2 linked regions of the Rattus norvegicus genome follow. The protein of the gene in region 1 binds, or shares a complex with, the protein of each later gene. Links are inferred from orthologs where the notes say so. Each region holds a gene or a part of one and is shown in the gene's direction. Other genes may lie near its edges. The genes, in order: Rad18 and Ube2b.

Region 1 (4,506 bases):
GTGATTTTTATCATTGCCATAACTTCGCACAGCAACTCACTCCCCTTAATGTTCCTAGAACTATCCAACAGCTCCCAACTCAATTTCATTTGATTGGATGGTCCAGATCCATCATACATCTAATCCTCCCACTTGTCTTCTGGTTGCTGGCTTGCTAGATTCAGTGTCTGAATGTCTGAATCTTTTTCCTGTTAGGACACCCAGTTCCTGTATCTGTACCTGGAAAGATTTGTCTTGACCAGATTCTTATGAGACTATTCTGTGGTAGCTTATATGCTCAGAAGCCCAACACCCTAAGTTCTACTTACCTGCAAAATGCCCTTCACCAATTACCCATTTTTCTTTTCCTTGAACAGGAATAGACCAAGTAAGTACACAGATGTAAAAAAAAAAAAAAAAAGCTACAGTAGTGCTTTGAATACAGGTGGTCTCTAATATGTGTTAGCTATTACTGTAATAAGTAAACTATCACGTAAATGTTATTCATGTCGTTGTTGCACAGTTCATAGGTGAGTGTAGGCTAGGGAAAATTAATTGGCCCAGATTACAGAGGTCATTTTATGATAAAAACTCAAAAGAATGAAGCCCTAACCTGTTGGGTCTCAGGCTTCACGTCTCTAAAGTATTGGTAACAACCACACCTCTCTGCCTACTTCTCAGGGGAGCTCATCTGCCTGGTCCATTGTAAGTCTTCAAAACATACATGCTGAACCAGTGAATGTGTGGGCCACCTGGGTATCAATGATACAGCAAGCTAGAGGGTTCTGTCTTGGGTGGCATCTGGACCAACTTGTGGTCCCTGGGACTTAGTGCAATGGAGGCCCACAGAAGGCAGAGGATGAATGCTGCCCCACATCTAGATAATGGGGCTCTGGTTAAATCAGCCTAAAAAGAACCTTGCGGGAGACAGGTCAGGGTGCTAAGACATCACCTGGAAGCTAGAAGAGGATGAGGAGCTTATCAATTAGTTGGAGTAATTTGATAGAAAAAGAATGTGGGTTCCTGTTAAACTGATTTAATAATACTCTTTGCTAACACTGGACCTTATACGTGGGGAATATCTGAGAACTAAGTGCCATTTTTAACCGTGGTTATCGCTGAAGAACAGAGGCTCTATGTGGCTCTGGTGAATGCTTACAGAAAGAGGAGTTGAGACAGAAGTGTAATTTTATATATTTGCAAGGAGCAGGACAGATCTCTATAGAGAATACTACCTGAAGGGAGATGTGAGCCTAGACCTTGAACTCTCTATCAAAACTTAGACTTTATTTGGTTTCTGACTTTTTCCTAATATTCAATCAACTTCGGGAATCTTTTGTTTACTCACTTTACAAGACAGACTAAAGCTGCCCTTAATATTTCAATTATCTTCTTTCTCCTGAGGTCCAAGGGGTTGAAGGCCTGCATTGCTCCAGGCTATGCCTTGGAATTCTTTTTCCTCCTCAGTCTTCCAAAGCTGTTGACGCCCAACGCACGAGAACTACAGCTCCCAGCATTCTGTGCGCTCTCTGTGAGCGCGCCGCACGTATCTGACGTACGCTGTAGCGCGGGGAATTTCGAGTAGAGGAACTGCGTGGCAGGCCGGTAGCTGGTGGTCTCGTCAAGTGCGACCATGGAGGACCTGGCCGAGCCACGGTGGCCTCCGGGGTTGGCGATGATGAAGGTGAGTGTCTGGGGAAGGCCGGGGTGCGGACATCGTCGGTGCGAGCGGAGCGCCCCGGTCCGCGCGCCCCCGCCTCGGCCCTATCCTGACTGGCCTCGCGACGCCGGGCCTCAGTTTCCAACCCCCGAGACGGTTCGGGAACGCGCCGCGGTCCTGCGCAGTGAGCCCAAGGTGGCCGCCCTAACGAACCGGATGTTTTGGGTTTCTGTCACAATCAGCGCGTCGCCGGGATAAAGTCACTGTAACGCAGTGTCAACGATGGTGACAGTTCATCCTACGAGAACTCCTGTGTTAACAGTGACACCACTCGTGATTTGGGTGGACGTTGCATCGGATGACTTTTTATAATCAAGTAGCATAATAGGCGGTCTGCTTACCATGGTTTTCCATTTCTGGATGAGGTCCAGAAGTGCTCCTTGTTCTTCACACACTGCAACCGGTTTCCCTGCCTGTTGTGCCCTGCATGACTCAATGATGACGCATCCCTCTCTATTTAATGTTTATTTATTTTATTAATGTAGGAGACAAGGTTTTACCCCGTAGCCCTTGGGTGGCCTGGAGTTCGGTATGTCGACCAGGCTGACCTCAAGATCCACCAGCTCCAGCAACCTGAGCGCTCCTCCCTGGCTCACATCTTTTTAAAACCGAGGCCAGGACCTAGACCCACCGCTTAGCCTTTCGTTTTAAGGAATTATTGCATACTGAATTATCTCACTTAAATAACAGTTAGTGGGTTTGTTTGTTTGTTCTGAGGCGGGGTTTCTTTGTGTAGCCTTGTTCTGTAGAACAGGCTGGTCTTGAACTCTCCGAGATAGCTTGCCTTCCTCTGCCTCCGGAGTTCTGGGATTAAAGATGTGTATCACCTCTGCCCATCCCGTGGATTTTTTTTGTTTTTTGTTTTTGTTTGTCTTTCTACCAAGAATGATTGAGTAGCCCTCGTGCCTCTGTCCGCTGAGTGCACGCTTTACCATTACTTTTCTTCTACATGTAATCGGTACATTGTATCTACTACAACGTAAACATTTCCCTATGACAGTTTTTTTTTTTTTTTTTTTTTTGCTTTTGATATTGGGTTTTTTTTTTTGTTTTTTTGTTTTTGTTTTTGTTTTTGCTTTTTTTTTTTTTTTTTGAGACGGGGTTTCTTTGGATAGCCCTGGTGTCCCAGAACTAGTTCTGCCTCTGAGTGCAGTCTTTTTTCTTACTGTTCTTAAAAAACAATGCATCTTGGGGAGACCGATGGCTCCAGCTGGATAGGTAGAAGAGGATTGCCTTTTCTGGTATCACTGGGAGGAGAGCCGGTTGGTCCTGTCAGGGTTGGGGAATGCTAGGACACTGGCTAAGGCAGGAGCTGAGGCAGGAGTGGGTGAGCGGGTGGGAGAGCACCCTTGTAGATGCAGGGGGAAGGGAGGAGAGGATAGGGGGTTGTGGAAGGGAAACTGGAAAGGGGGATAACTGGGTAGGCCAGTCGGGGAGCATTCTCATAGAGGCAGGGGGACAGGGGAGAGAAGGGGGTTTGTGGAGGGGAAACCAGGAAGGGGGGGGTAACATTTGAAATGTAAATAAATAAAAACCAATTAAAAAAAGATTTAAAAAAACACAATGCATTTGTTACAACCTCAACATTTCCCTTCCTCAATTGATTACTTGTTTTATTTGTTTGTTTTTGTGTGTGTTGTTTTTTTGAGACAGGGTTTATTTGTTGTAGCCCTGTCTGTCCCAGAACTAACTCAGTAGACCAGGTTGGCCTAGAACTCACAGAACTCACTGCCTCTGCATTCCAAGTGCTGGGATTAAAGGCATGGGCCACCACTGCCCAGCCCAAGCAGGATTTATAGCTATGCAATGTTTCATATGGATTGTTAATGACAACTTTTTTGTTTGTGTTTGGTTTTATGACAGGCTCCATATGTGGTACAGTTAGGCTTGGAGCTTGCTTACTGCCTAGCCCAAGCTGGCTTCTAACTTTGAATCCTCCTGCTCCTGCCTCTGAAGTGCTAAGATTAAAAGTATGAACTCCCATAGTTTTATTTGCTTTCATTTACGTTATTTATTCTAAAGAATGATCTTTTATTTTGTGCCTTAAGTGCTTTACCTACTTGTATGTACATGCACTGCATTCGTGCCTGGTGCCCATGGAGACAGGAGAGCGTTACCTCCCCTGGAACTGAAGTCATGGATGCTCGTGAGCCATGGATGGGCGCCGGGAATCCAGTGCAGGTCCTCTTAAGTGCTGAACCATCTCCTGCCTCTGCAGTTTTTAAGTAATAGATTCATATAGTTCAGGAAGTACATAGAGTGAAAAAGATCTCCTTCCTGTCCTGTCTCATTGCCCAGCTCCCTCACCTTAGTGACTGTGACCGATTGCTTTGTTGTGTCCTTTCAGAAGTTTCTTTATATGTGATAGAGAATATATTCTACTTTGGTGGTGGTGGTTTTTGGTTTTATTTTGCTTTTTGAGCAGAGTCTTCACTCTGTAGCTCTGGCTGCCCAGAAACTATGTAGATCAGGTTGGTCTTGAATTTGGATCCTCCTGCCTCTGCCTCCCCAATGCTGGGAAGCCTGTGTCTCAGGATGCTAGCCAGGGCCACGTCCTTCCATGCCAGACCGGGATTCTGTCCTTAGCCTCCCATACTTCATTTCGTGGGAATCAAGCAGCCCACTGTAATTACTGTCAGTACTTCTCTTAAACAAATTAAACAATTTTAGGTTGCAAGAATAAATCTGGTTCTGTGTAGCTTGTTGTCCAAACTGACACTGGACTTCGCTAACTGTTTTGAAGGTTTCCTCATTTGGCTGCACTGTGGTGTGTCATGCAGAAAGTGGTGGACTATCAGGAGGATGGG
Region 2 (2,856 bases), on another chromosome or scaffold:
TCCCTGCCTGCTATGTGGGGGACAGTGGTTAGTAGTGGAGTACTTACCCAGCATGCCCCACACCTCAGCCACAAAAAACGTGGGTCTGGGAGGTGGGCAGTGCTGGCACACACCTTTAATCCTAGCTATAGGAAAGCAGAGGCAGACGGATCTCTGTTTGAGGGCAGCCAGGGCTGCACAGAAAAAAACGTGTCTTAGAAAACTGAGAGATGGCGGGATACTAGCACTAAAAAATAAATGAAATGAAATGACTAAGGTGTTTAACAGGTGTTAAAGTTTAACGAGAGTTAGCTGCTCATTCCGTGGCAAGGAAGTTGTTATATGCTGATGAGTGTTGTCAGCTGATTTCCTTGAAATGGGAAGTCTTAAGGGAACTCGGAATTGTTTTGGAAGCTTATGCCCTTTAGCCACAGGAACCTGCTTCATGCCACTTCAGAAGGTTTTGCGATTCTGTTCTGTGTAATTTTTTTGTCCTCATCTGAGTCCTGTTAATATAGCATATAACTGAGCAGCATTTTCTTCTCTCTGTCTTCTAGTCTCTGTTGGATGAGCCGAATCCAAACAGTCCGGCCAATAGCCAAGCAGCACAGCTTTATCAGGAAAACAAACGGGAGTATGAGAAGAGGGTTTCGGCCATTGTTGAGCAGAGCTGGAATGACTCATAATAGACACCTGGTCTGTCCACCTTTCCATCGTCGTTGTGTATAATTTACCTCCCAGTAGGAAGGCTAGCAAGTTTTAAGTGCCACGGGTTTTAAGGATTCTGCAGAGAAAAAAGAAAAAGTCCTTCAGTTTAGAACCTACAAAAGCTTGTGTATCTTGATTAATGTACTTTTTATTGCATGGTGTGAACTAAGTTATTGCTGCATAAATTTGTAATATATCCTGTTTGTATTTTTTTCCAAGTGTATAATGTTGGTGTGGAGTTTTCATGACAGAATATACACATTTTGTAAATCTGTACTTTTTTCAAATATTGAATGCCTTATTTTTGAATTCTTTAGATTTTTAAATTGGAGAAAAGCACTTAAAGTTTTTTATATATGAATATTACATGTAAAGCTGTTAAAATACATAACTTCAGTGCAAGAGACTTTGTCACTTATTTCCTTACCTGTGCAGGAGGGACTGCCAAGTCTCTGCTCTTCGCCAGGTGAGAGCCTCATTTCCAACTGCAGAAGGTCACTCTTCTGTTTTATCAAGAAAGTCTGCAAATTTGATTCTAAAACCTATTCTGATCTCCGGCTTTATTTTGAATGTACTTATGTTAGTTCAGTTGAGTAACTATAGACTTACTGGTCTGGTTCTGTCCAGCTCTGTATTTGGGCCACTTGTTAATGTGCGTTTCTCATGTAAACTGTACCTTTTGTGACTTCACAATTGGCACCTCGTCCTCGAGCAGAGCTGACTTACTCTGCTGCGTGGCAGCACCTCCACAGGCTTTTGATTAAGAAGAAAGTAAAACCATCACCATTCACCAAATGCCGTGCCGCGGTGTTAGCAGTGGCCAGGTGCGCTGGTTTGAGCAAGGCAGAGGTTTGGAAGGAATCTCGGTGTAACTTGAATATTTGCAAACTACCTTTTAATGCGGCTGCGCGCTACCTGTTTATTCCGGAACTGTTGAGCACCAGGGCCTGCCGAGTTGCTTCTCACCTCCTCAGTTGTATTCAAGTTGTACTGCCTCTTAGTTTACTGGGTAGACTTAAAACACAGTATTGTAGAAAGCTAAGACGAAGCTATCCTATGCCTTCAAGTAGTATAGAAAATGGAAAATATACAAGTAAATTCTGTTGAACCTCTTGTGTAGTCTCTGTAGTAGTTGAAACAGCTATTGCAGTGAGCCCGAGTTTCTTGTCATCCATACCACCCTCCTAGAGACATGCTCTGGTGGCCTCTCCGCTGGAACATTGGGTTGCAGAGTGACCATGTCTTCTGTTTACAAGCAAAGTTTAAACCTGGGATGGATAAGAACTGATACTTTCCTTTAGGAGTTGTTATCCCAAGGGGTTCATGAGTTACTGGTATGTGCTGTTTCTGCAAGACCCCAATCTCCGTTCCCAGTTCCCACTTCAGACAGTTCACAGTTGCTCATAACTCCAGCTCCCCGGGGATCCAAAGCTTCTCACTAAATCAGACACTGGCATTCACATAAACAGACACTACATAATTAAAATAAAAGTATTAATTTATTAAGCTTAGAATGGTGGCACCTAACCTGCTTATATCCTTGGGAAGTTGTGGGGATCGTGGTTCTAAGCCTGGTACACATAGTGAGTTCTAGGCCACTTGGGGGACATGGTGAGACATGTGATGCTTCTGCCATTTATTTAGCTCCACAGCTTCCTTCCGGGGACTTGGACAGTAAATAAGCGGTACCTGGGAGAGGGGCTCAGCTATTTCACTAAACAACATCCTGGGTGTGTCAGCACCATATTCATTCTTAGCTATTTTCCTCATCCATTTGACAACAAACATTTCAAGTACGTACTTGATAAACAGCTAAAAGAGTTGTCAGATGGTGGACCGGCTGTTAAGTTTTGCTACCTCTCTGGCCCATCTGACTTGGAGAAAGCCCTTAGAAACATTCTATTAGTCACTCCTGTTTTGTGTTCGGTAGCGGACCAGATCTAAATTTTTACCATGCAGAAGTATCCGTTTTTTGTTCTGGATACATTTGTACAGTGAGAAGCTAGAACTAAGCAAGGCATCGAGGTCGAGATAAATGCGCGGGATTTAGATGTATGTGCTTGAGATGCATTTTCTTGGTCAGCCTGGCAGAGAGCAGCCCACATGGCACCGTTCTATTAGAGATCAGGGAGCTAGGTACAGAGAGATGAGGGGTCTTGGGTCAGCCAG

What was found.
Region 2: the proteins of Rad18 (region 1) and Ube2b are in contact, whole or in part, in a crystal structure (PDB 2YBF), measured with the Homo sapiens proteins. The link is inferred for Rattus norvegicus from reciprocal best matches to the Homo sapiens genes RAD18 and UBE2B. Residues at the interface, in NP_064550.3 of Homo sapiens: Tyr342, Arg343, Lys344, Lys345, His346, Lys347, Glu349, Phe350, Leu353, Val354, Gln356, Ala357, Arg358, Lys359, Gly360, Tyr361; in NP_003328.1 of Homo sapiens: Pro20, Val22, Gly23, Val24, Ser25, Gly26, Ala27, Ser29, Glu30, Gln35, Asn37, Ala38, Val39, Phe41, Gly42, Pro43, Glu44, Glu49, Asp50, Lys54, Leu55, Val56, Leu73, Ser74, Asp151, Ser152.

What each region holds. Positions count from the first base shown.
Region 1 is NC_086022.1:147,373,926-147,378,431, reverse strand, and holds the start of Rad18 (E3 ubiquitin-protein ligase RAD18), read left to right. Parts: upstream 1-1,562; 5' UTR 1,563-1,612; coding exon 1,613-1,663; intron 1,664-4,506. UniProt on the Homo sapiens protein: E3 ubiquitin-protein ligase involved in postreplication repair of UV-damaged DNA. Postreplication repair functions in gap-filling of a daughter strand on replication of damaged DNA.
Region 2 is NC_086028.1:36,748,710-36,751,565, reverse strand, and holds the end of Ube2b (ubiquitin-conjugating enzyme E2 B), read left to right. Parts: intron 1-536; coding exon 537-665; 3' UTR 666-2,201; downstream 2,202-2,856. UniProt on the Homo sapiens protein: E2 ubiquitin-conjugating enzyme that accepts ubiquitin from the ubiquitin-activating enzyme E1 and transfers it to a E3 ubiquitin-protein ligase. In vitro catalyzes 'Lys-11'-, as well as 'Lys-48'- and 'Lys-63'-linked polyubiquitination.